Zea mays: one gene and its partners. The protein of the gene in region 4 binds, or shares a complex with, the protein of the main gene of each other region. Links are inferred from orthologs where the notes say so. Each region holds a gene or a part of one and is shown on either strand. Other genes may lie near its edges.

What was found. The genes of interacting proteins can lie anywhere in the genome.
Region 1: mediator of RNA polymerase II transcription subunit 8 (region 4) and Mediator of RNA polymerase II transcription subunit 32-like share a complex: the UniProt entries of both Arabidopsis thaliana proteins name them as parts of the mediator complex. The link is inferred for Zea mays from reciprocal best matches to the Arabidopsis thaliana genes MED8 and MED32.
Region 2: mediator of RNA polymerase II transcription subunit 8 (region 4) and Mediator of RNA polymerase II transcription subunit 28-like share a complex: the UniProt entries of both Arabidopsis thaliana proteins name them as parts of the mediator complex. The link is inferred for Zea mays from reciprocal best matches to the Arabidopsis thaliana genes MED8 and AT3G52860.
Region 3: mediator of RNA polymerase II transcription subunit 8 (region 4) and mediator of RNA polymerase II transcription subunit 18 share a complex: the UniProt entries of both Arabidopsis thaliana proteins name them as parts of the mediator complex. The link is inferred for Zea mays from reciprocal best matches to the Arabidopsis thaliana genes MED8 and AT2G22370.
Region 5: mediator of RNA polymerase II transcription subunit 8 (region 4) and Mediator of RNA polymerase II transcription subunit 21 share a complex: the UniProt entries of both Arabidopsis thaliana proteins name them as parts of the mediator complex. The link is inferred for Zea mays from reciprocal best matches to the Arabidopsis thaliana genes MED8 and MED21.
Region 6: mediator of RNA polymerase II transcription subunit 8 (region 4) and Probable mediator of RNA polymerase II transcription subunit 26b share a complex: the UniProt entries of both Arabidopsis thaliana proteins name them as parts of the mediator complex. The link is inferred for Zea mays from reciprocal best matches to the Arabidopsis thaliana genes MED8 and AT5G05140.

Annotation. Positions count from the first base shown.
Region 1 is NC_050101.1:142,578,410-142,582,310, forward strand, and holds Mediator of RNA polymerase II transcription subunit 32-like, read right to left. Parts: upstream 2,520-3,901; 5' UTR 2,401-2,519; coding exon 1,957-2,400; intron 714-1,956; 3' UTR 501-713; downstream 1-500. UniProt on the Arabidopsis thaliana protein: Component of the Mediator complex, a coactivator involved in the regulated transcription of nearly all RNA polymerase II-dependent genes.
Region 2 is NC_050103.1:84,916,337-84,919,952, forward strand, and holds Mediator of RNA polymerase II transcription subunit 28-like, read right to left. Parts: upstream 2,469-3,616; 5' UTR 2,323-2,468; coding exon 2,133-2,322; intron 1,699-2,132; coding exon 1,586-1,698; intron 821-1,585; coding exon 686-820; 3' UTR 501-685; downstream 1-500. UniProt on the Arabidopsis thaliana protein: Component of the Mediator complex, a coactivator involved in the regulated transcription of nearly all RNA polymerase II-dependent genes.
Region 3 is NC_050100.1:126,532,858-126,536,828, forward strand, and holds mediator of RNA polymerase II transcription subunit 18, read right to left. Parts: upstream 2,801-3,971; 5' UTR 2,411-2,800; intron 2,217-2,410; 5' UTR 2,207-2,216; coding exon 2,171-2,206; intron 1,404-2,170; coding exon 1,304-1,403; intron 1,231-1,303; coding exon 1,173-1,230; intron 1,105-1,172; coding exon 748-1,104; intron 646-747; coding exon 543-645; 3' UTR 279-542; downstream 1-278. UniProt on the Arabidopsis thaliana protein: Component of the Mediator complex, a coactivator involved in the regulated transcription of nearly all RNA polymerase II-dependent genes.
Region 4 is NC_050102.1:151,801,048-151,805,300, forward strand, and holds the start of mediator of RNA polymerase II transcription subunit 8, read right to left. Parts: upstream 2,801-4,253; 5' UTR 2,667-2,800; coding exon 2,428-2,666; intron 2,275-2,427; coding exon 2,150-2,274; intron 1,168-2,149; coding exon 1,043-1,167; intron 941-1,042; coding exon 757-940; intron 625-756; coding exon 520-624; intron 203-519; coding exon 135-202; intron 1-134. UniProt on the Arabidopsis thaliana protein: Component of the Mediator complex, a coactivator involved in the regulated transcription of nearly all RNA polymerase II-dependent genes.
Region 5 is NC_050099.1:37,999,035-38,002,606, reverse strand, and holds Mediator of RNA polymerase II transcription subunit 21, read right to left. Parts: upstream 2,249-3,572; coding exon 1,955-2,248; intron 1,312-1,954; coding exon 1,240-1,311; intron 1,143-1,239; coding exon 1,091-1,142; intron 1,020-1,090; coding exon 943-1,019; 3' UTR 933-942; intron 759-932; exon of another isoform or gene 756-758; 3' UTR 501-755; downstream 1-500. Other genes in the region: putative X8 domain containing family protein isoform 1 precursor, read left to right, coding at 1-106, 202-227. UniProt on the Arabidopsis thaliana protein: Component of the Mediator complex, a coactivator involved in the regulated transcription of nearly all RNA polymerase II-dependent genes.
Region 6 is NC_050103.1:106,778,689-106,782,934, reverse strand, and holds the start of Probable mediator of RNA polymerase II transcription subunit 26b, read right to left. Parts: upstream 2,801-4,246; 5' UTR 2,043-2,800; coding exon 1,446-2,042; intron 1,359-1,445; coding exon 1,290-1,358; intron 1,192-1,289; coding exon 1,109-1,191; intron 908-1,108; coding exon 852-907; intron 767-851; coding exon 645-766; intron 545-644; coding exon 517-544; intron 424-516; coding exon 41-423; intron 1-40. UniProt on the Arabidopsis thaliana protein: Component of the Mediator complex, a coactivator involved in the regulated transcription of nearly all RNA polymerase II-dependent genes.

The sequences.
Region 1 (3,901 bases), on a different chromosome or scaffold from region 4:
GTTCCAGGTCTTAATATATTCTTAAATTAATCGACCAGATACTCAGATCCTTTTCTCACATGATACGGAGTAGTATCATTCAGCATGTTACATTTATCAAAGTCCGGTATACTTATGGAGCTAATATTTTATCTAGCTCTATTTTCTGAATTTGGCATTGGTTACAACCTTTAAAGTTTCTGTACAGATTATCTCATTTCAGCTCTATTTTTTAGGTACACTGCTTATATTGAGTCAGTGGCCAAATTTTAACAATCAGTTGTGGTCTTAATCCATGTTACTGTTGTTGGTATGATAATGCACTTTGCTCACCATATCATCTATGTTTTTGGTATGATAATGCGTTAACGCGTCTTAATCCATGTTGGATGTAAACGCATGTTTTTTCTGCTAATGCTTCCTCTGTCCCAAATTATAAAACATTTTGGCATTTCTAGGTTCATAGCTTTTGCGTATCTATACATAATATATTTCTAGGTGTGTAGCAAAAACTATTGATCTAGAAAAGCCAAAAAATCTTATAATTAGAAATGGAGGGAGTAGTTCATAGTCCTCAGCCAATTCTCTTGAGTGCAGCCATCAAATTGTGAAATTGTACTTTGTCTACAGATCCTATAATATCGATACAAACAGATTATGACATCTCCACATTTCTGCTTACTTCCAATAGTTTATCAGCATACTGTCATGTAGCATAGTCAAATCTTTTTTTTCTGCACATAATAGATTAACATACATTTGAGATACAGTGATGGGCATATCTGGTTTCTTGGTAACCATCTTACTAAATTACTGTTCAATTCAGTTCGTGCTTTTGTGAAAATGACTAGTGAATATACTCTGAGAACAATGAAAACCAGTACTGCTTTGTTAACTCAAATATCATGAATCTGTAGGGACCATAGCAGTGGTGAATAAAACTTTGGATCTATAGAACGATAAAGGAACTAAGGTGCTGTTTGGTTTATATGTTTGTAATGTAATAGGTAACAAATAACGTTAAATCATGTTTGTTTAAGTCCAACTGTAATTGGATACCACACTACAAATTGATACCAGCCTATTCAAACTTGTTACCCCTGGTAATCGAATGCAAATCATTACCGTTACCATTTACGTTACATTTTAGGAACCAAACGGCACCTAATTTAAGTCGTGAGTTCGAAGCTCATCCCTTTCCTAGACCCCACTCGTGTGAGAGCCTCCAGCACTGGATCAGCCCTTTTTTAGTTTTTTTGTCTATCTCAAACCAGGGATCCCAAGTTCCCAACCTTATCTCTTCACTCAACAAAAGAGTTGACTCAAAATCAAAAACTGCAACAACCAATCCCCATACACTGGCTGGTCCAAACAGGTACAGACTTAAAACTGGCGCAGCATTATACCCCCAGGTTTTTTTTTTCTGGTCATCATGTAATTAGATCTATATACCTCTCATGCTTTGTCACGACACTATAATTTTTTTTTATGGAGAGCAGCATTTTAGCAATCTGTGTAAAGATTGGGCAATAACCAATGGGCATAAAGACATTAATGCTGAGTAGTAGTATATCTCAAAATGGAAAGGTAAAAACAACAGCCAGCAAATCGCAATGATTTAGGTGCTGTTTGGTTCAAAAAATGTAACGCAAATGGTAATGGTAATAGTTTACGCTCGATTACTGGCGGTAACAAATTTGAATAGGCTGGTATCAAATTTTAGTACGGTATCTGATTACGGTTGGACTATAACAAACATGATTTAACGTTATCCATTACCCATTACGTTACAAATATATGAACCAAACGGCACCTTAGTTCATGTTCTTGCAAATATCAACACGCAAGGTTAATGCTGTCACTCATAGAAACACAGCAACGACAAGTTCTTTGTTTTCTATTGAAGGAAAAATGCTACAATTTTCATATGAGAAGGGCGATGCTACTAGTTTAATTCAGTAACTCCATAGTCCATACCTACTGGGCACCCTCCTCCGGGTGTTGCCCTCCAGCGCCGGCATTTGGGGTAGCGGCACCGCCACTGCCGCCGGTCCCTTGAGCAGAGGCGCCGTGCTGGAGCTCGATGACGAGCCATCGGACGGCCTTGCTCATCTGCTCGAGGCGGACGGCGCTGATGGGCTTGATGCCGGGGGCGGCAACGGATCCGGCGGAGGCGGACCCCGTGGCCTCGTCGACGAGGCACTCGGAGCCGATGCGCTGGCGGATGGACTCGACGAGCTCTTCGGCGTGGTCGCAGGCGACGCGGAAGATCTCCCAGCGCTGCTTGAAGGCCTCGAGCGCGGCGTCCGTGGCCGCCGTCTTCTTCTCGCCGCCCGACTGTACGCGGGCCTCCACCACAGCCGCCGCCGCCGCCATGAAGTCGTCGTACGCCGCGCTCAGGTGGTCCACAGTCGCCTCCATCCCTCCCTCACCCCCAGCTTCTGACGATCCAATTCGGCCTCAGCCCCCAATTCGACACGACGACCCCGAAACCGAAAGCAAAGCGTGAAAACAGGAAATGCCGAAATGGCCCAATCGATATCGGGTCGAGATCAGGATGGGCCTTTTTATTCGACATACGCATCTGGACCAGGGCTAGAGATTGTAGGCATGGATTTTTTTCTAAAAAAATAATATTGTTTTCCCAGACCGTATAGTAAATAAATTCTAAAAATTACATTATTGGACGCGTGTTGTTGGGAAGCTCGCGATCAATCGTGCGGACAGAACGTAGGAAGTGGCGGATCCAGAGCTACTATACGTGGTCTTTTTTTTACAAGACTCTCGTTTATCCTAATTGTTTTAGAATTAGAATCATCTTTCTTCTGGTTCTTGATGAAAAATTTATCCATCCTATTCTTATAAGCATGGGATTACTACCAAATAAATAATCAAATCAAAATTTCAAATCAAACTTAAAGCAAACAATAGCACATGTTTCACCTTCACTGCTTGTCTGCTTCACAGATCACAGCTTCACCTTCGTTGCTTCTGCTTCGCAGTTCGCATGGGACGTCCTATTCCTGCATGATCTGTCACAGATTAGCAGAAACTCTCTTGGCCTCCTATTCCTTCATCGTCCCAAACTCCCAACAGAACAAGGAACCCCCAACAGAAAGCTTGGAGGGGCATTGGCACACGCCGCACACCGCGCATGGCATTATGGCAAGGCCATACATCACTGGCTGTCTGGCTCATCACTCCAATGCAAGAACAAGCTAATAGCTAAGCACACTTTCTTCTCAGCGCGTGTGTACAAACCTGAGCTCCACGAATTAGCAGAAGGAGGGAGCGCGGAGTGGCGGCTGGACAGCGGCGTGGTCAAGGCGGTGCTCCGGGCGGGGCTAGCGGCGGTGTTCCGGCGGTCCGGCCTCCGGGCGAGCGACGCTGCGGGTTGCAGCGGTGCTCCGGGCGTCGGGGCGTGGGCGGTTGGAGGCCTGAAGCTCGTGGGTAGAGGGAGGAGGAGCGACCTACGACTGGGAGGCTGTTCACGCGGTCGCGCGGCTGGAGCTGATGGGCTTATTCGCTGATTTTTGGGCCGCGACCGGGCTGCAGCCCAGGCAGCCCCAGCCTCGGTTGGAGATCCGCCACTGAATGTAGGAAGAGCTGAGTGGTGTGTTGGCTTACTGCTACGATTGTCCCTATTGATTGTGACTCTGATTAGATAGTTCTAGACATGTCATCTGGCTTGACATGTAACCAAATGGGTGTGTTATTATCAGTGAATCACTCTATTAATACACAATACGTAGTATATTAAACGTTACCGTACATTGAAAGCAATTGTTGGGGGTAAGCCTTTGCAGGAGGTCCTTAATTAAAATCAACTAATCTTAACCACTTTATCATTTATTCCGAGAGCAACCAATTCATGTTTGCCGAAGGTCGCTAATGCAGGTTAAAAGAGGAACAGAAGAAGCTT
Region 2 (3,616 bases), on a different chromosome or scaffold from region 4:
CTCATCCAATTATCTCCAATCCATATGAATTGTGATGACAAGGATTATGTCCTTAGGTCTTGTTCATTTTATAGCAAAATCATATGGATTAAGGTGTATTGAAATGGATTGAGAAAGATTTTGACTAGTAGTGGATTACTGAACAACCTGGCAGTGCACCTTTAGGAACGGAGATAAAACACAAAGTGTTTTTTTTCGCTTGCTCGTGTATTCAACGTAGCAACTGTGCCACTTGGCTCGGCTTTTTGTCAGGAGAAGGTTCTGTTCGAGCTGATCCAGGCACAAATGGAGTAAAGATAGAAAGGAACTTGCGAACATGGCGGCCATCCAGAGTAGGCACATAACCCGCTAGGCTGACTCCAACAGTTCACCCAAAGTTTACCCATAAATTCACCCAAAGTTTACCCATAAAGACAGGAAGCCGTTAGCATTCTATGTCGTTTTATGATGGCAGAGACTCATTTTGCACAACAACAGAGACCATGGGGCAAGTAAAGGTACACAATCAAACATAGATAAAGTGGGCTTTGTTCGTGGCTTCCAACCTTAAGAAACCAACAAAAGGCGATTGCTAACCATGGCGTCAGATTCTAAGCACATGTACACAGTTTTATAGGGCATAACATAACATTTGGTCACCTAGAGGTTCATGATCACTACAAGGTAAACCGCAGAATCGCACTCCTCACACCCTTTCAAGCTCCGTGATGTGCTTGCTCAGCTGCTCCTTCAGTTCCTTTTGCCACCCTTCAATCAACTTCTTGTGCTTGGCAATGAGCTCAGACTTGCTCTTCAACTCTTCCTCCATTGTCGTAATCTCCTGTGCAATGCAAAACCGAACATGCCAACGAGATGATAAATATTGGGTGGGTATATGTATCCCAAATTCCTAATTAAGACCAGCAACTATGCACCTGTGATTCTCTCAACTACTGCAAAGGCATTTTTTTACAGAAACGTGTGCATGAAAAATTCATGAGCACAGAAGGTGTTAGGTGTATGAATGTGATTGGGTGTTCCTTGGGAACATTACTTTGTAGAAGTGACGATTCAGGCAGGCTACCAGTTCTTTCAATAATGAACACCTCAACTTCGAGTAGAAATATAGGAGTCTTTGTAATAAAGCTTATACTGAGTGTAACAAACTGCCTGTAGCAAGTAGCACTATGTGATTTATAAAGTTGGCTATTCCTAAGTATAGTGCCAACCACAAATGATCACAGTACTTGGGATGATCATATCATGTGAAATGTCAATCCTATCACCAATGAAAACTTTTAAGGGAGTGTTTGGTTTGAGGAGTCACTCAATCCAAAATGATGTGGTGTATAATGAGTCCATTCCTCAAATTTGCTGGGATGACCTTATTTCTCATATTAGTACTAACTAACTATAAGGAATGACTCCATTCCTTATTTCATTCCACAAATCAAATAAAAAAAGAGAAGTGAGAAGACGATGGACTAGCTCATTCCTCAAACCAAACACTTTATAATTAATTCATTCTCCATAACCAGTCCCCAATTTAATTTAACTACTATCCTTGCCGCACTCTTAACTATACGAGGATAAAGTAGAAATATACCTTTCGAAGCATCTCTTCTGCAGATGGCGGTTCCTCACGCTGCAGGCTGATGAAATAAGACTGGAGCTTCTTGGCAGCCTCCATGAAATCCCTTGCGTGCCTCTCAACATCAACTGCCCAATTTAGTAGAGACTACAACACTTAGATACCCTGTTTGGCAGGAACGAATGAGAAAATGCAATTAAATTTCTCTAATAAGCATTGCACACTATTAAGTCGGTATCTAAAAATGTGATTTACTTCTTTAATAAGCATTGCAATGTGATTGCCTGATTGGTACAGTTGATACAAGTTGAGTTCTCAGTCTAGGACCTAAGAAACCAATCGATATACAATTTCCTGGGCACAAGAAAGATGCAAAATCTTCCTCTAGAAAGAGCAAGATCCCTTTATCCATCCCGTAGGCAAAACAACGAACATGTGGCGCGCGACGGCGCCATTAACCGACCGAACACCATGAGACTTTACTGGTGTCGAAGCCGTGCCGGATCAAAGTGAAGCTACCTCTAGAGGAGGAGAGTGGGGAAATGATGGGGGTCGGCCGTACTCTGGTGGGAGGACTGGAGGGAGCGGTCGACGGCCTGGAGCTCGCGCGCGGGGAGGCACGGCAGCAGCGCGGCCTCCAGCGCCGCCACACACGCCAGCATGTCCTCGAGCCCACCCGCCGCGGGAGTCTGCTGCGTCGGCGGCGGGGGCGGCGTCTGCGCTGGCGACTGCGACGGCGTCGGCTCAGCCATGACGGAGAATGCGGAGAGAGGACCCGGAGAGATTGGGAGCGCTTGGGCCTCCGATTTGCTATTGACAAGGAGGAACTTTCCGTTGGATTGAAGACGCACGGCTAGGATTGGTTTACAAATGGCGTGTTCTGCGCCTGGATAGGCATAGGCTCGAGGGCTGAGGCTGCCTTGGCTGAAGGAAAGCGCATAGTTTGTTCAGGCTGACAATTTTCTGAAATATTTTTTCTTTTTTATAATAGCACACTTCTTCATATTTTGGTGCCTAAAATTTAGGCAACACTCTTATATACCACTGATTGCTAATAAAGGACCATTTGGATCCTTTTATTTTCAAAGAATTGGAATTTACTCCCTCCAGTCTTCAAATATTTGATGTTTTGGACATGACCTCATATACCAAGGAGCTATTAAATAGGGTTGTTATTTTCCATAATACCCCTAATAAATACGCTTAGATTCCACAACAAACACATGAAGATGTTAGCCTAGATGGTTGGGTCCTAAAGAATTTTACACTAGGTCGTGAGATCAAACCTTCACGATAAGAATAATTAAGCATATGTGGAAGAATGTGTGAACCACTTATATCAAGGGTATATTAGTCCAAAATAAGCTTCAAATGCTTCAACATCAAGCATTTGCTAGTCCAAAATAAGCTTCAAATGCTTCAACATCAAGTATTTGCATCCAAAGTGAAAATCACTTAAACATCAAGTATTTAAAGACTGGAGGGAGTATTTAATAGAGTAGGTTATTTGATTTGAATTTGATATTACACCACTTTCCAAAGTTTAGATATAAACTCATCTCAAATTCATAAGATGGGGTGGAAATTGATTTTATGTATTCAATTCTACGTTTCTACTCTGTAATTTATAACACACTCTTCTACTCACTCTCCTATAGTAGAAATGTAACATATAAATATCTCTCAAATATGGCCAACACTAATATACAAATATACTCACTATAAAACCATATTAGTTTAATTGATTTATGTCTAAATTACAATTATTATATTAGAATTCAATTCCAAGGGTCCAAAGGGGGTCTAAGACTATAATTTTATTGTTTACCTTTATGTTATAACCTATATTTTTTCCCTTAGCTAACTACTAAAATAATTGCAAAATGTTAATGGTCTTTATGTCAACACAAATCAAAATCTACCAAATTTATGATTTTGTTCAATAGATATTTTATTCTTAAGAGTAAAAATGTAGATTATGTCTATATAAATTACAACACACTAAAAACTAAAATTCAGGTACCTAAAATTTAGTAAATCACTTAA
Region 3 (3,971 bases), on a different chromosome or scaffold from region 4:
CAATCTTAAGTGTCATACTAATCTCCTGTCAACGTCTCGACCGATGGGTGCATCAATGACTTTTTAATGGGTGGTCTTTCCACAAAGGACATGCCACTAATATTGATAATGTTTACCATACGGATTTTGCATATCATAATGATATTTGTCGTTCCGTTTATATATTTCATACAATTTTTTTACTTCCGTCGCAACGCACGGGCACTCACCTAGTTGAAAAATATATACACATGAGATAAACTTCTTTTTGAGAAAAGAAATTATGGTTTGGATTTTTGAGAAATTTTAATATTGGTAATACTAGATTGTTACACCCTGCAACTACAAGGCAGGGCATTACCCATCAGCAATCATGCAACCAGTCAAACCAAGAGCAAGGTTGGCACAACGATGTGTCAGACATGGACAACACTAGCAGGCAAAACTGACTGCTCAAATGCTCGGCACGAAGAAGGCCACCTCATTAGCCACGCCCACTCATCTCAAAGAACGGACTTTGGCTGTCCTAGCAGCAAGAACGGACTTTGGCTGTCCTAGCAGCATTACAAGGTTTTGCCACCGCCACTTGACATGAGTGAGGCAGCAGCAGCGGCTGCTGTTGGAACGATTCCTGTCGAGTGTCCTGGTTTTGACAGATGCAGCAGCCTGCAGCAGATTTCCAAGGATTATTAAAACCAAAAAGGTGTTTGGTTCATTCTTATATGTTTTCTGATTGTTGCCTCGGAATTCAAGCTTTGGGGTACTTACGGGGCAAGATATTCACAGAACGCAGTGACAGCTGAAACAACATCATTGTAATTATCAGCAGCAGCAGGAGCTGTGATTTCCACTAGCTGTATGGCAGGAGTGACTGGCGTAGCTTCATCGGTTGCATGGAGCCTTGACATCTTGTTAGCAGATGTAACAGTGACAGTGATTTGGGCACCTCGGTGGAAACGAAATGCAAAACCGCTCTTCAAGAGTTCATGGTCTAGCTTGTACCCTAGGGTGTAGAAGTAGTGCAAGACGTTCTTGCTAGCTTTGCTCTCCACAACTGTACGAACCAGAACTGAGATTTGCTCCGCACCAGCACCTCTCATGGCACCACCAACATGTCTTATGGTCCTACAATCTTGTCACAATTAATGATAAACATAACAAAAGGTAGACTTTCAGCAGCTTGTCTCGGTTACCAGGATGGTGTGGGCTGAGCTAAGTCACACAACAAACGAACCTCCGATGGGACAACACCTGTATGATTGCAAGACGTCAGTTAATACGCCACATGTGTAGGAATGGAGGAGTAGACTAATCACAAACTAACCTAGATTGGGCCCACTTTTAAGGCAGAGCTCATGCACCCTAAAACGCTCTTTCGGGACACCAGAGAGTCCCTGGAGTAGAACCTCAAGAGCATCGACATGCTGCAAAATGGAAAGATCAAACAAAGGTTAAACTAATGGCAGAGCAGTACAACAAAGAGCAACTTACATTCTGTGCACAACACATAAACTAGAACATACCAAAAAATTAAGTTCCTCTCTATTGTAAAAGCACAAGGATAGATCATATGTTCCCCCAACTGTATATTAAATGTTACTATTCTGTTAACATGCTGAGAAGAAAAAAAACAAATGAAATCAAAAGCTCCAGAAGTAGTGCCTTAAAGCGCGGAATAAATTGTTGACATTTAGTGGTCTACATGATCTATCTATTTATCACTTCAATAAAATAAACTTTTGTTAGTATTTATCTGTGATGGAGTAAACAGAAAAGTGACCACCAACTGGCAACTATGGATAGTGGCCATACCTAAGGGAGCTCAACTGAACACTAAAATGAAGCTAGATTGTATGGTGCGTAAGCTCAACATTGTGCACTGTACATGTACATCAATATGAGATTGTTTTGTCCACAGCAACGGAATTCAATTAGTAACGAAATGTTCAACAACAAATTCAATACTATAAGTATATACTTACAAATAGATATTAACAATCTATACACCATTCAAAATACTTATCAAATCTAGATGCAAGCAGTGAGAGGAAAAGTTAATGTCTGATCTGCATAACAAAATAGACTGCACTAACGATGATGAAAGAGCTCCTATCTTTCAAATGTTAGTGGAATGCGTGAAAATCAAATTTTACATAAACCATCAGTGCCAACTTGCATTGTGGCACAATACCTGGTTCTCGATGATTCCCTGCACCACGCACTCCATCGATCTTCTACTGTCCCACAATGATTTTGCACCCAAAAAAAAAGAATCACGTTAGTGGATTTGTTATATGTGTATCAGGGGTGGACCAGTATGGCAGTAAAAAACAAAATTAGAAGTTAGTAGACATCAAATAGTTAGGTTAGAGTTCGGGAACTCGTTTTCGCACAGCGGGTAGAGAGAAGAAGGGGGTGGGAGTGGGAATACATTGAGAGCGTTCTTCGCCAGCGAATAGATCAGCGAAGGGCGTGGTGCCTATGGTGGCGACTGCGGTAGCCCGTCCAGTCGTCGCAAAGAGAGAGAGAGAGAGAGAGCGCGCGCGCACGCGGTGTGAAGGTGACGGATGCGGCAGCGGCGGCGGCGGCTGTAGCCCAGCTAGGGCCTGATCTGGGAAGAGGGAGGCTCGATAGGACTGAGGCACTGTCGGCGGTGCGAGCCGTGCGGCGCAGCGTCGACAGGAACAATGGTGGACGCGACGCGAGGAGGGAGACGGGAACGACCGGACGAGGGAGCCAGGCAGTGGACGGCTGGGCTTGAGCAGGGAGGTGGGCTTGAGCTGGGAGAGTTCACAGTCTCGTTTGGAATGATCCAAATTTCGTTTCGTTGACTAATCTTTTATTTTTTATATTGTTATATTTTGAATCAAATCCATTTAAAACGGACTGAAATTTGTTTTTTTGGTTAATAGCGAAAACGAAAAAAGTATCAAAATTTGGTGATCTCGGACAGAAAAGATAAACCGTGGGCTTGAGTCAGGATTGTTCAGCCTAGTCGCGGTGCGGGGGTTGTTCAGCCTTATTTGTCACTTTTTTTATTTTAATTTTGATAAGACCTAATAGGTTACTCTAGATATGTTATCACTTTACCTTTTTATTCCTAAATCACTTGATAGTTTTACTATTTCTTTACATGGTTTTGGGTTAATATTTCATTATATCCATGTTCCAATTATTTTGTTATTTTATTTTTATTCATGTCAAGATTATTATCTTTAATTGGAACATAGAGCTTAACTTGAGAAACATGTGTCACCACAAGAGAGGAATGAGACCCCTTGACTAACTAATTAGGAAAGCTAGTGGAAAACTACCTTACCCGAAAGGGGCAACGGCAGTAAGAGAGTTACATGCAGAGAGGTTCTCGGTTGATTTTGCTGCGATGGCGGTCAGACGGGGGATTCTTGCAAGTCGAAATCTAGTGGAACTTTATAAAGGCCTCGTAGTGTTGCCCTGTCTCGCTTCCTTGGTAGAGGTGTATGAGAGTCGCGATCCCTTGGTAGATGGGTAACATTACTTGTGGATACAGGGTACAGCCTCTGTAGAGTGTAAAACTGGTATACTAGCCGAGCTCATGGTCATGAGCAGCTCAGAACTGTCGCATGATTAATTAATGGAACTTAAATTCAATTTGTCATTTGCATTGCATGTGATTACTTATTAATTTTGTTCTATTATTTATTATGGTTTGGTATTTACTTACACTTAGTAACTGCTAATAAAATTTTGACCAACTTATAAAAGCAATGCTCAGCTTCAACCTTTATTTTGTTGATCAGCCTTACACTTCACATGAACTCTCACCTTTGGTGAGTTCATGCACACTAGTTTCCCCACAACTTGTTGAGCTATGATCATATGTGAGCTCACCCTTTCTGTCTCACACCCCCATAGGAGAAGAACAGGTGGTTCAGGAGGAGGCACACAATGAGGAGTTTGATCTAATCTAGGTGGCATCTCCCAGTTGACTTATTGGCGCTAAAGATGGATTT
Region 4 (4,253 bases):
TATCAACACCATGGGAAGATGACTGATGTCATAAAAACAGAATGAACCAAAGAGGTTTTCAATTCAAAAGAGTGATAACAATAGAAGATAGACCCTTTCTAATATCATAATAATAACTCAGTTATAACAGAAACCTGAATCTGATTTCCCTGGCTGTTGACACTATTAGGTGCAAATGTTGACATATTTTTGGGATAACTACCTGCAAATACAAATAGAAATTAGATGTGCATTTGTCAAATACATCTCCAATGCAAATGCCAAAGAGTTAAGCATACAAGGAACTTCTACGGCACAAATCTCCCATTAATATGGCAAATGTTAAACATATAAGGAACTTTTACAGCACATATCTCAATGCAAATGGTCGTGATTTTAGCAATTGAGGATAAACACTAATCCTAGCACAATAGGAGTTCGGTCTATAGCGCATGAAAATGAGACAATCGACAGATGTTAAAACTCAAAACGAGGAGAGGTTCATTAAGAGAGTTTAGATACACAAGAAAATCTACATACCAGAACTATCACCAAAATTTTGTGCACCGTCTCCTAAAGGAAGCACTTCTATCAGATGGATAGGAAGAGATTGTGGATGCCTCTGATCTCCAGGTACCCGTAATCCTGGCATTCAGATAATTTTAGTAAGGCTATAAGTATTGAAATTGTAACACAAAATAGAAGTAAAAAGGACTCTTTATTTTGGAAATCTAATTGCATTTTTTATTAATATTGACCAAGCACTATGCCTTTCACCTTCACCATAATTTACTGCTGCTCTAAGTAGGCCTTCCTGCTCCTGTATCTTTGCAGCTTGTGCTTTGTCCAATGTAGGACCAAGATTTGTCCCCTGACGGCTTCCCAGCCCATAGCTCTTACGGCATTCTGCAATTACTTTCTCAGCAGTTTCGCATGCACTCCCAATCATGTCTATTCTAACCTGAAAGGGATGGTACCAGGTTCATTCTAATTAATAGATAGCCGATAAATCAAGCTAGCAACACATGCTATAGGTTTTCATTTTTCATACTAAATTGGTCACCTTTAATTTTTCAATCTGTGTAGGCACAGGTAGATTAGTTATTCCAGACAATAGTTGCTCTCTCTTAGTAGTTTCCTCAACTTCCATCTCAGGCAGCAGTTTTGACGACAGCATTACAGGTAGTACTGCAATATTCATAAGGATTATACTGCAACTCTAATAATAAATAACTGTACAAACCATTGATAGTATGCAAAATGGGAACACTAGATGACAATGCATCAGAACAATTAGAATGACCATTTCCAATACATTTTTGTTGGGTCATTTGCACTGTGTTTATTTATCTCAGAATAGCTTGCCATGAAATTAAGGCCATGGCTAGTAGAAAACTTCAAAAGTCTGAAACCTAATTCAGAATTTTGATTAGTGGACAACTGGAAATAAACATCAGTTGACAGTAAGAAAAATCTTAGATTGAATCTTCATGTGTAATAAAACTTGTGAGAAGACCCCAAAGAAACGGCACAGCAAAGTATTAGCCCAACTGGTCATACTTGTAGTCATCATTCATCCTTACTTTAGAAACAAAATCATAGGGTTTTTTTCTAAAAATATATGGAAGCATAAATGAATCGTATAATCTCATCATGTGTTGAAAATCATAATCTCATTAGGTGTTCACCAATACTGGACCATGAACAACGAAAGACTATTTAGTGTTGGGTCAAATAAGGGAAAATGTTTGATGGATTCCTTTGGACTCAATACAGTTGGTTACATAGCAAAACTTCAACACATAAACTGAGCAAATTTTCATATCAGATAATTTCTTCCCAAATTACATGCTTCCATTGATAATCTTTCAGAGAGGTTGTTGTTCATGTCTTGATTGAACCAACCAAACTTTTACAAACAAGGGCAAAGAACTCTTAATGTCTTTGGAAATTGTTGTCCCTGAACTGGAGATGATTTATTTCATGACTGAATCAGTAAACCATGCAACTAGAACATAACCAACAGATGTTAAACTCCCCTATGTTAGATCAACTAAATATTAATTATGATTTCTAAGAAAACAAATACCATTACGTGATAACCAAATTGACACAGATAACAAAAGATATATGCATATCCATAAAGGGGAAAAAACTCAGAACGGCATACTTGTTGCATTCTCGGCATTGACATTCCGGGGGTACACGACAAACACCTTGGACACATTCTTAATGTCCTCCACAATGTTGAAGAGCTCCATGCTCACCATCGAGAACTGCCCGAGCACGTCCTGCCTGCAATTCACCCAGAGGCAGCCATACCATACCAGTAAGCAATCGCGCAGCGACGCCACACGAGCAGAGGCATCCTAATTAAACCCTAGAATCCACTGCTGCCAGCCATCAGCCGATAGCCAATAAGAGGGGCGGGGCTGGGGATGAAGTTACCACTTGGGGGAGGCGCTGGGATTGGTGCGTATGATGACGTCAAAGTCCTCGAGGATGCGGGAGATGGCCTTGTACAGCCCCACCGCGCGCGCGCGCATCCCCTCCAGGTTCAACTGCTGCTGCACCCCCGCGCTGAGCCGCTCAACCCGGGGAGCTGCCTGCTGGTCCCCTGCGGCTGCGCCCGGAGGTGGCGCGCCAGCGGCGGGTACTGCACCTAGCGCGGCCGCCGCGGGGTCCATCGCCGGAAACTTGCGTTGGGGGCGGTGGCGTTGCGGCGGAATGAAAGGGGGTGGCCGGAGGCGGACTAATGGAGGATGTTTTCAGATCGTTATGGCGGTACCACCAGTTTGCGTGTCTGGCTCAGACTGACATGTGAGGGCCGGGGGACAGTCAAGTCAATTCTCTGCACTCGACAAAACATGTGTCCAGAATCCAAAAGTTCATAATGCAGAGTTCAAAATTTGGAGAAGTCCTAACAAAATGTATACCTAGATGAGATGAGCATACAGAGTCGTCATATATTAAACTATTTTTTATTTAACTAAACTTAGAGTTAATATACTTATACAAAAAGAGACGGTGGTATTTACACCATTAAATTGGTATCACTAAATATGTGTTTTTTGTGTCATCCTCACGAGTATACTGCCTGCAGCATGCTTCAAACTTTACAGAATTTGATGGCACGTACGCCTCCTAGTTCACACAGAGGAGCTGGGGCTAATTAAAGCCAACCTACAAGCAAACGGACTTTACAATGATAGTGTAGCCGATGCCTGATGATGCTAAGTTTGTTTAGCAGTTTAACAGGTATAGATGTCTATATTGGCCGGACAGCCAAATTTATCCGAAGCCTGGTACCAACCCGGCACGGCTCGCTGCGCATCGAGCTCGGGACAGCCCGGCACGGTGGACGTGTCGTGCTTGGGCTTTGAGGCCGGCACGTCGTGCTCGGCCCGACCCAGCACGAAAATGAGCCAGACACGGCGTCTGTCCGTTCCACGCCGCATAACACACATCGGCCCTGCCCCATGACGCACCCCCCCGGCATTCGCTCGCTCGAAACCCTAAACCTAATCCCCTCCCCTTCTCCCGTGGCTCCTACCTCTTGCTCCTTGGTGACCGACGAAATCTCGCCTCTCCCGCCGACGGCTACTGGTGACGGCTACCAGCGACGGCTTGTTTGGACATCTATACTCTCCTCATCTCTTCGCTCATCATCTTCCCTTCCTCACACCCGAATCCCAATAGAGTAATCCCCATCCTCGGCTCCTGACATCCTCTTAGCAGAGGTGTTCCTCCTCGCGGTGGTGCTCTCAAGGCGACTAAGGTGCTCCGGCTGCGCAGGTTATGTCCTGAACCCTAATCTCCATCCCCTTCTCTTGTGTATTAGATCTTGATTGGAATCCCATGGATGTGATGAATCTCCTAGGTATCGCTTGTGTCGGTGCCACGTAGCTGTCCAGGGACCCCAGTCGTCGGCGAGGAGCCATCTGTCTACGGCATGGACGATGACCTTCATCCGACCGTTGTGGACGAGGAGCACCGGCTAGAATATCATAACAAAGCAGAGGATGCCCGGATCCTATTTGGCAGTAGTGTTGCCATCAACATCGATAATGATGATGATGTCCCTGGTGCCGCCACCGGTGGTCAAGCGGGCACAGGATCCACGAGCCCGACACCGACCGGCACAAGCACCGCCGCCACCAGTTCCAGTAAGTGTCCTCTCAGATCTAAAGTGTGGCATGACTTTGATGAACCGACTCACCTTGTCAATGGTAAGATGGTATGGTATGGAGCCATTTGTAAGTACTGCAAGGTGA
Region 5 (3,572 bases), on a different chromosome or scaffold from region 4:
CTGTCGCGGGCGTCGGTGGCCATGAACGCCTACTACCAGGCCCGGGGGAGGAACTCGTGGAACTGCTTCTTCAACGGCACCGGCATAATCACCATCACTGACCCCAGTGAGTGCTTCCTTGCTTGCTGTGAGTGTCTCATTGCCCGTGAACCGTGTTGGGGGAGCTGACACCGGATGATGGATCATTGGATCCTCTTGCAGGCCTTGGCACCTGCAAATATGCTTGACACGACGGGCTGCTCTGCTGCTGCTGTGCTCAACGGACGATGAATAAGGCTGTAGGGGAATGATGCATCTTTTCCTTCTCTTTGTTTTGTTATTGTGTCTGTGTGAGTGAGCAGGGAGTATCCTTGCAGAACCAACCAGTATCATGTCTGAGCACTGTAGAGAGAATTTCCGTGCTTTTATTTCCCAAATACAGTTCTACTCCAGGCCAGTGGCTGGAGGGGAGTTTAGGAACAGGTGTCAAAGGTCTCAGGTACTGAACAAATACCAAAATATAGAAGAAATCCCAGAGGAAGCCAGGTGCCAGATCCATTAAAAAGACCACCACAGTTCAAGCGTCAGTTCATACTAAAAACATTGCACCTTACAACCAAAGGTCAATCCTAATCCGGCAGATCAGAATGCCAGTACACAAAAGCTAAGTGCAATTATTGTTCACTAGTAGAGAATCTGAAAAGACGGAATATAAAGTTCTTACTGGCATTCATCCTCCACACTCCATCCACAGGAACAGTTTCTTTTCAGCAAACCTGCTATGGCAGACATTGGATTTACGTCAACACAATATCTTATGAGCTAGATCGGTTTCCAACACTTGATGCCAAATACATACAAAACCAAGAAGTAACTGTTGGAGCCAAATTAAAAGAGAAATTGACTTTGACAGTGCATTGATAAGTTGTAGGAAGAAATTCATCTCAACTTACATTAACGTAATTAATCTAGCTTCTTAAAATTTATGCAATTGTCTGTTGCTTCATTAAACAGCACCTCAACCTGCTTCAACTCCCTTTCTGTAACGCAATGACATCAGTAATTAGACATATAATAGTAAGAACTCTAGAAACAGTGGGGATCGTGTTACCGGCAGCTTCAAGTTGCTTCTGGAGCTCCAGTCCCACGACTTCATTCTCTGCCTGCAAATTTCAGATTTTCATACAGTTTATTTGGAGTAGGAGTTTGGCAGATGCCCATCCTGTGCTCGATGAATTAATCTGACTGTCTGATATCTACCTGTAGCTCTTGGATTCTTTTCACTTGATCCTCTTCTGATGATAGTGGCACTGCTGCAACAAGTGCATCAAACTGCATAGAAGGCCATAATTGTTCCTCATTTAAGGGGAAAAAGTTGGAACTGCAGCAAGCATAATTTGAACTAAAGTTTGCCAGTCTTTACATTTCAAGTTTTCAACCATGGTTAACACAAAGTGATCTCCCTCACTCCCTCCCTCCCGTATGCATCACTCTACGTCTGTACGCTGTTGTTGGGATAAACATCTTATCTTAGGAAATGGAGCAAGAGATGAAGATTCTACGTCTGTACGCTGTTGTTGGGATAAACATCTTATCTTATGAAATGGAGCAAGAGATGAAGACTCTACGTTATGTACATTGTTGGGATAAACATCTTATCTTATGTAATGGAGCAAGAGATGAAGATTGTTCTGTACACTGTTGGGATAAACATCTTATCTTATGCAATGGAGCAAGATATGAAGACTAGTAAGTGGCAACACGGTTTCATTGTTTGTCTCCACATAACGCGGGCAAGCAAGCAAAAATTAAACAGTTGGTCCTTCACTTATTCGCAGCATCAGACTTACGAGTAAAACTACGAAGCGAGCCGAAACTTTCTACTTAACCACACAAAGATATTTTGGAATCACCGGGCGGGCATTTGGTCCAGAAGATGGGGACACCGAGAAGAGAAGTGGGGCAGGGTACCTACCTTCTTGGCCGCGAGGACGAGGGCGCGGCTCATAGCCTTGGGTTGCTCGGTGAGGTCAGGCGCGGGCGGCTGCGCCTGCGCCTGCGCCTGCGCCGGTGGCGGCGGCGGCGCGCCGGGCTGGGCCTGGACCTGGGGTTTGGAGTCGTCCTCGGGCTTAGGGTTGGGGTTGAGCGGGTCAGGGTAGCTGCTGGAGAGGCGGTCCGGCGGCGCGTCCCTCTGCAGCGTGCCGAAGGTGTTGACGGCCAGCACGGCCATCTCGTCGAGCTGGTCCTGCAGCTGCGTGATGATGTCCATGCCGAATCCCCACCACTCTCTCCCTCTTCTCCTTCCTCCGTCCCAGACTTGCAGGACGGCGGCTTTATTGTAGCAGGCCGATTTCATCCAGGAATGGGTCTGCAGGATCCAGCCCACGTAGCATGGACCAGGCCGGATCTAAAAAATGTATGTGCCGGTATTCAAAAGATGCTCGCTCATATTCCTGGGATACCACCAAGTCTTCCGGTCACCACACATTTGCAGAATGCTGAGCCATCGGCAATTTTACCATTGTCATTTATAGGCTTCATTAATATGACGTCGGACCCTAAATTATAGACACAGATGATTCTATCAGTTATAGATATGGGATAATATAATAAAGTCAAAACTGAGAGTGACAAAATTATAAATTGTTTGGCACCAAAAGGAGCGCGGACGGAGGCCGGACAGTCCGCGGTCCGGACAGTCCGCGCCTGTGGGCCGGACGGTCCGTGCGTGCGCAGAGTAAATTAGGGTTCCGAGTTTTGTGCTATGTTTGTTAGCTAAAATCGCGGGAAAAGCTCGGAAATTAGTTTGTAAAGGGTCCAGCCCCCTCCTCTATAAATAGAGAGGTATACGGCCGATTTGTAATCATCAATCGAATCAATACAACTTATATTTCACATTTATTTCCTGTACAATTAGGAGTAGTTCTAGTCTAGTTCTAGTTTAGCCTCTCGATCCCCAAATCTTCCGCCTCTCCTCGACTCTACGTCGATTAGAGAAGTCTAGGTCAGTCTACCCGAGCCTAGACACCACCTAGGATCTCTCCTCCCCGACGGGGTCCCTCCCGGGAGCGAGATCCAGGCGCCGCCGGCGATCTCCCGCCGCCCCTGCGCACGCGCGGACCGTCCGGCCCTAGGGCGCGGACCATCCGGCCGTCAGGCAGGGAACCTTAGCTCCTGCGCCAGGTCGCGGACCGTCCGGCCCTGTGTCGCGGACCGTCCGCGCCTGACCAGAGAGCACCACCGCCTCGCGCCAAGTCGCGGACCGTCCGGTCCTGTGCCGCGGACCGTCCGCGCCTGACCAGAGAGCACCGCCGCTGGTTTTTTTAAGTGATTGGCGCCTCCAAAAAGGTGTCAACATACTTTTTGGCGACTCCGCTGGGGACACAAATATAGACGCATCAAATCGGCCCTCAATGGCCGGTTCAAGAGATAGCTCTAATATTTCCCCAAGCAACATCATAGAGCCGACTTAGGAGACCTTGCCGGCTGACGAACAGCTCCAGTTCGAGGAGCACAAGGAGCAGATGATCCAGGAGGCAAAAGCGAGGTTCTTGGCCAACTTCAAAGTGGACAGGAACAACAAAGTCGTCCGA
Region 6 (4,246 bases), on a different chromosome or scaffold from region 4:
ACCATCGTCAAAAACATGTGCCTTAGTTGCGTGTACTTACATCTGTCTGGCTTGCCATAGGCTTTCTCTCGATAGCAACATGCTCTCGAGTTTGTTTAGGTTTCATGTCACCAAATGGTCTCTGTTGAGCTGCCTTTACTGGTCTCCCCGGTCCAGATTCATAACTTGAGGGATTATTAGACTGCTTGTTGAGCGCACCGTGAGGTTTGGCTTGCAAACTTGAACTTTGGAGGGTTTGTGGGTTCGCTTGCCTCATTGGTGGCTCTTGCCTTGCCAGTTCTAGCCTCCTGGGTTGAACTCTTTCGACGACTCCAGGATAAGAGCGAGGTGGATCTTGCCTTGCAACCGTTGAATGGCTTGCAAGTCTCCCACCATTGTTACCCCTCTTGTTTCCAAGGCTCGGGTCATTACTATGTCTCAAATCTGGCACCGTATGCGCAACGTTAATAATCATCATAATGTTAAAACCAAGCAATAAGCATGGAAAATTAAGAACTGCTAAATTGCTGTACTCACTTCCATCTTCATCCATTTCGTCAAAGAACTTTAGGTTGGGGAGATGGGAGGAAAAACAACAGACACAGAGTCAGATTGTTGTTAAACACAAATCCCAATCAGATGGCAGGAATTAACTATATCAGTACCTCAGAGAGTTGAATAGAAGTGGTTTGGGTGGCAAAGAAGGCCCCTTCGTCCAAAGGTGGAGATGGAAGCCCTTCCTCTTCTTCATCCACAACAGAAGGATTTGAAGAGCCAGGGGAGTTCTCTACAGCACCAAAGAACAAATATCCATATTAAGCTAAGATGCCAGTCTTCATTTAGAAACTGTTAGATCAATTCAATTCAGTTACCTGTCAGGGCAGCATTTGTGGTACTGACCCATTCATCAACCAAAACTTTCCAACCTCTGAAACACACAAGGTAACCTCATATGTCAACAACATTTCCAAGAACGCTAGCAAGAAGGCACTTCCAATGATTATGTAGCTAATCTACAATTGGTTGGTTGATATTTGATCAGTGATTTTGGTCTGCTATTAAGCACTTTGAAAGCAACAGAGAAGTAGCACTAGGGACCAAAATTGACAGAAATGAAGATGGAACTTACTCAATGAGAGTGCACACGAGGTGCCGAATCTCTCGTGAGTTGTGTTTCCGCAGCCGATTAACAGCTCTTCCAATCTCAGTAGCCTGCAATGAACAGTCCTAAGATTAAGAAACCAAACAGCCAGAGCAAACAGGGATCAACACATCAAATAGCTCATATGTACGCAATATCCATTTTGTACCTTTAGCGTAGAGACGGACAATTGCATCAACTGCAGCCTCCTCAGTGAATCGAACAAAGTGGCATCCGACTGCAGGAACAACATGATTTAGCTCAGAGGAATTCGAAGTTTAAGGACCTTATAAATAAATGAAGAAACGAGGCAGTCTGCCAGTACATGGTCTTCCTTGTGCAGGAGGAGTTCCTTGATGCGGAGGACCTCGCCGACGATCTGTGACTCCTCATCGATCTCATTGGTGAGCGCCTCGAGCTCCTCAGCGTCGTGGTCTTCCTCCCCTTCTTCAGTATCATCCGCGGCATGCTGCTGCTCATCTTCCTCCTGTTGGTCGCCATCTTCGTCATCATCATCGTAGTTGTGGCCATAGTTGCTCGCTGCGGCGCGGCGGAGGCGCTCGTCGTCAGAGTCAGAATCATCGTCCTCATCGGCGTGGCCATGGCCATGGCCGCCGCCGCCGTGGGTACCGTTGCTGCTGCTGTCGACCTTGCACTCCTTCTCGGCGACGCGGCGCACGCTGCCCTTGTCCTCCTCAACGGGAGTGGCCGGGGTGGTGGACGCCGCGGCGCTGCCGAAGGACGGCGGCGCCGCGTCGCGGCGGAGCGCGGTGAAGAGCCTCTCAGCGATGCGGTCGCGGCGGTGCAGGAAGTCCCGCGGCGCGTCGGCCGCCGCCACGAGGATGGCGTTCTCGATGACGTCGCAGATGCCAGCGCCGGCGCCACGGAAGAAGCCGCGCCACCGATCCAGCCCGTCGGCCATCGCCGCGGCCGCCACCGGTCCCCGCCGGGCCACCGTCGCCAAGATCAGCCTCCCCCGACCGCGATTCTCAGCAGCGCAGCCAAGGGCCGATGCTCCCCCTTCCTGCTTCTATCTGCTACCAAATTACGCCGCGCGCACCGGCACCAGAACCAAGAACCCAATCTCTCCCGCCCGCCCAACGGCGAATCAGATTCCCCCGAATCGGGGCCGGGGCAGGGGCAGGGGCAGGGGCAGAGTCACCAGCCAACCGATCGAGAAAACAGCGGAGGAACAAGAGCAGGGCGAATCCGGAGGCGGAAGGGATCGATCGCGAAGGAAAAAAACTAGCAGCGTGACCTTCCTCGGGCCCCACGTCCCCGTTCCTTGTCGGTTTCAACAACCTCACCGGGAGGGAGTTCCAGCGCGGCGCGGAGGTAGCCTAACCAGAGCAAATCTTATCTGGACTGCCTGGCTGACCCCTAGAGCGGAAGGAAGCGGGGAGGAAACACAGGGAAGGTGAAGTTGAAGACAGGAAGGGGATGACGATGAGACGGGCGGATAGGGACGGGGAAGGCAGGGTGCGCACACCCACGAGACCTACGCGGCTACTACTACCAAACACCAGCAACAACTAGTCTTTCTCCCATGGCCCATGCCTCGCCACCACTAGCAGCTGCAATTGCGGTAACAAACTGCAATTTACCAGAAGAAGCGAGCGAAGGGCAGCAGGACTCGGCCGTACTCAACCCGCAGGAGATGGCGGAAATGCTACGGGAGATGGGTGAGACGCGGCGTGGCTGATTCTTGTTGCGGTCGACTCGGGCGTCGGGGGGCGCCCTTTCCGGTCTCTTTCCTTCTCTCTCTCTCTGTGTTGAGGAGCAGTGCTGCTAGGTTGATGATGCTCACTCACAAAGTCACAGGGTGGTTTTCCATCATGATTATTGTTTAGTTGCGTATAATCTGAACTATTTACTATTTGGTAAAGCATATCTCTCTCGGGCCATAATTGCAAAGTCATTTGCGTACCGACTACCGAGCACAAGTATTTTCAGCACTGCACACAGCGTGTCATGTCAAATGGATGGGATGCCCTCACAAGCTTTATCATATATTTTTATTCTGTTTTCTTCATGTCGTATTTCAATGTTTAATCATTAATTTTTTTAAAAAATCCATATAAAGTCGGAACATGTACAATGTGTGTTAAATAAAAAATTTATTGTAGTGAATTTAATACAGCTTGGTGCGTGGTACTTGTTCTAGTTGATAGGTTGAATGAGACAATAAAGACGTAATTCTATATGAAACAACTGACGAGACATGAATATAACTTTTGAAAAAAAATGCTTGTCGTTGTAGGCAACTGTTGTGCATTTGTTTTTTAAAAAAAGACGGAAGACGAGTTTTTTAACACAGTCGTGCGACGCGCTGCACCTAGTACAGAGCAGGCTCTCAAGGTGGCAAAATCGTAAGACACAAGAGGTCCGCGATGCTTTGCAATACATGAGATGAGGAGTCGAATGCTATACTATAGGTTTCGCAATACATGAGATGATAACCCATGGTCGCAAAAAAACAAGAACGATAAGAATGGGTGACGGTATAATAAGTAAGATTGAACGAAAAGAGCGAGAGAGATGGAAAGAAAAAGAAGAAAAAAATCCTCTCCGGAAATCTCGGGAAAAGAAAAAAAAATACTATAGCCATCAAAATCTTACACCAAACAATCTGATGAAACTATAATAAACAGCGAAAGAAATGCATCGTCTGTTTTTGCAGTGTTAGCATCTTGATCCGAGCATCCTGGCTTATTCCCACGCCGCGCATAGATACTCCCATTTCAAAAGTGGCATGTGTTTCATGCTTTTTGTTGAGAAGGAATTCCGTCTCTGTATTTTGTCCCCTGTGCACTGCGTGCGCATCTAGCGTCTCCCACCAGTAGTGTGGGACAGTGGCTGGCTAGGGTTGTTTCGAGGTTCTTTTTTTTATTTTCATTTTTTTTAAATTTTCTACAGTAGTATGACTTACGCGGGTGTTCCATTTTGGAGTGGCTGCTGGGGTAGCCGAAGGGCCAGTCGTGTGTCCTTTTCACTAGCAACCATATGCTGGCTTCGTGTAGCAGCAGAGATAGTAGGAAGGAAAAAGGAAATGGAAGAGTATATATTAAAAAAAAGATAGATCGATAGATAGAGAGAGAGAGAGAGAGGAAACAAAAAAACTTCACT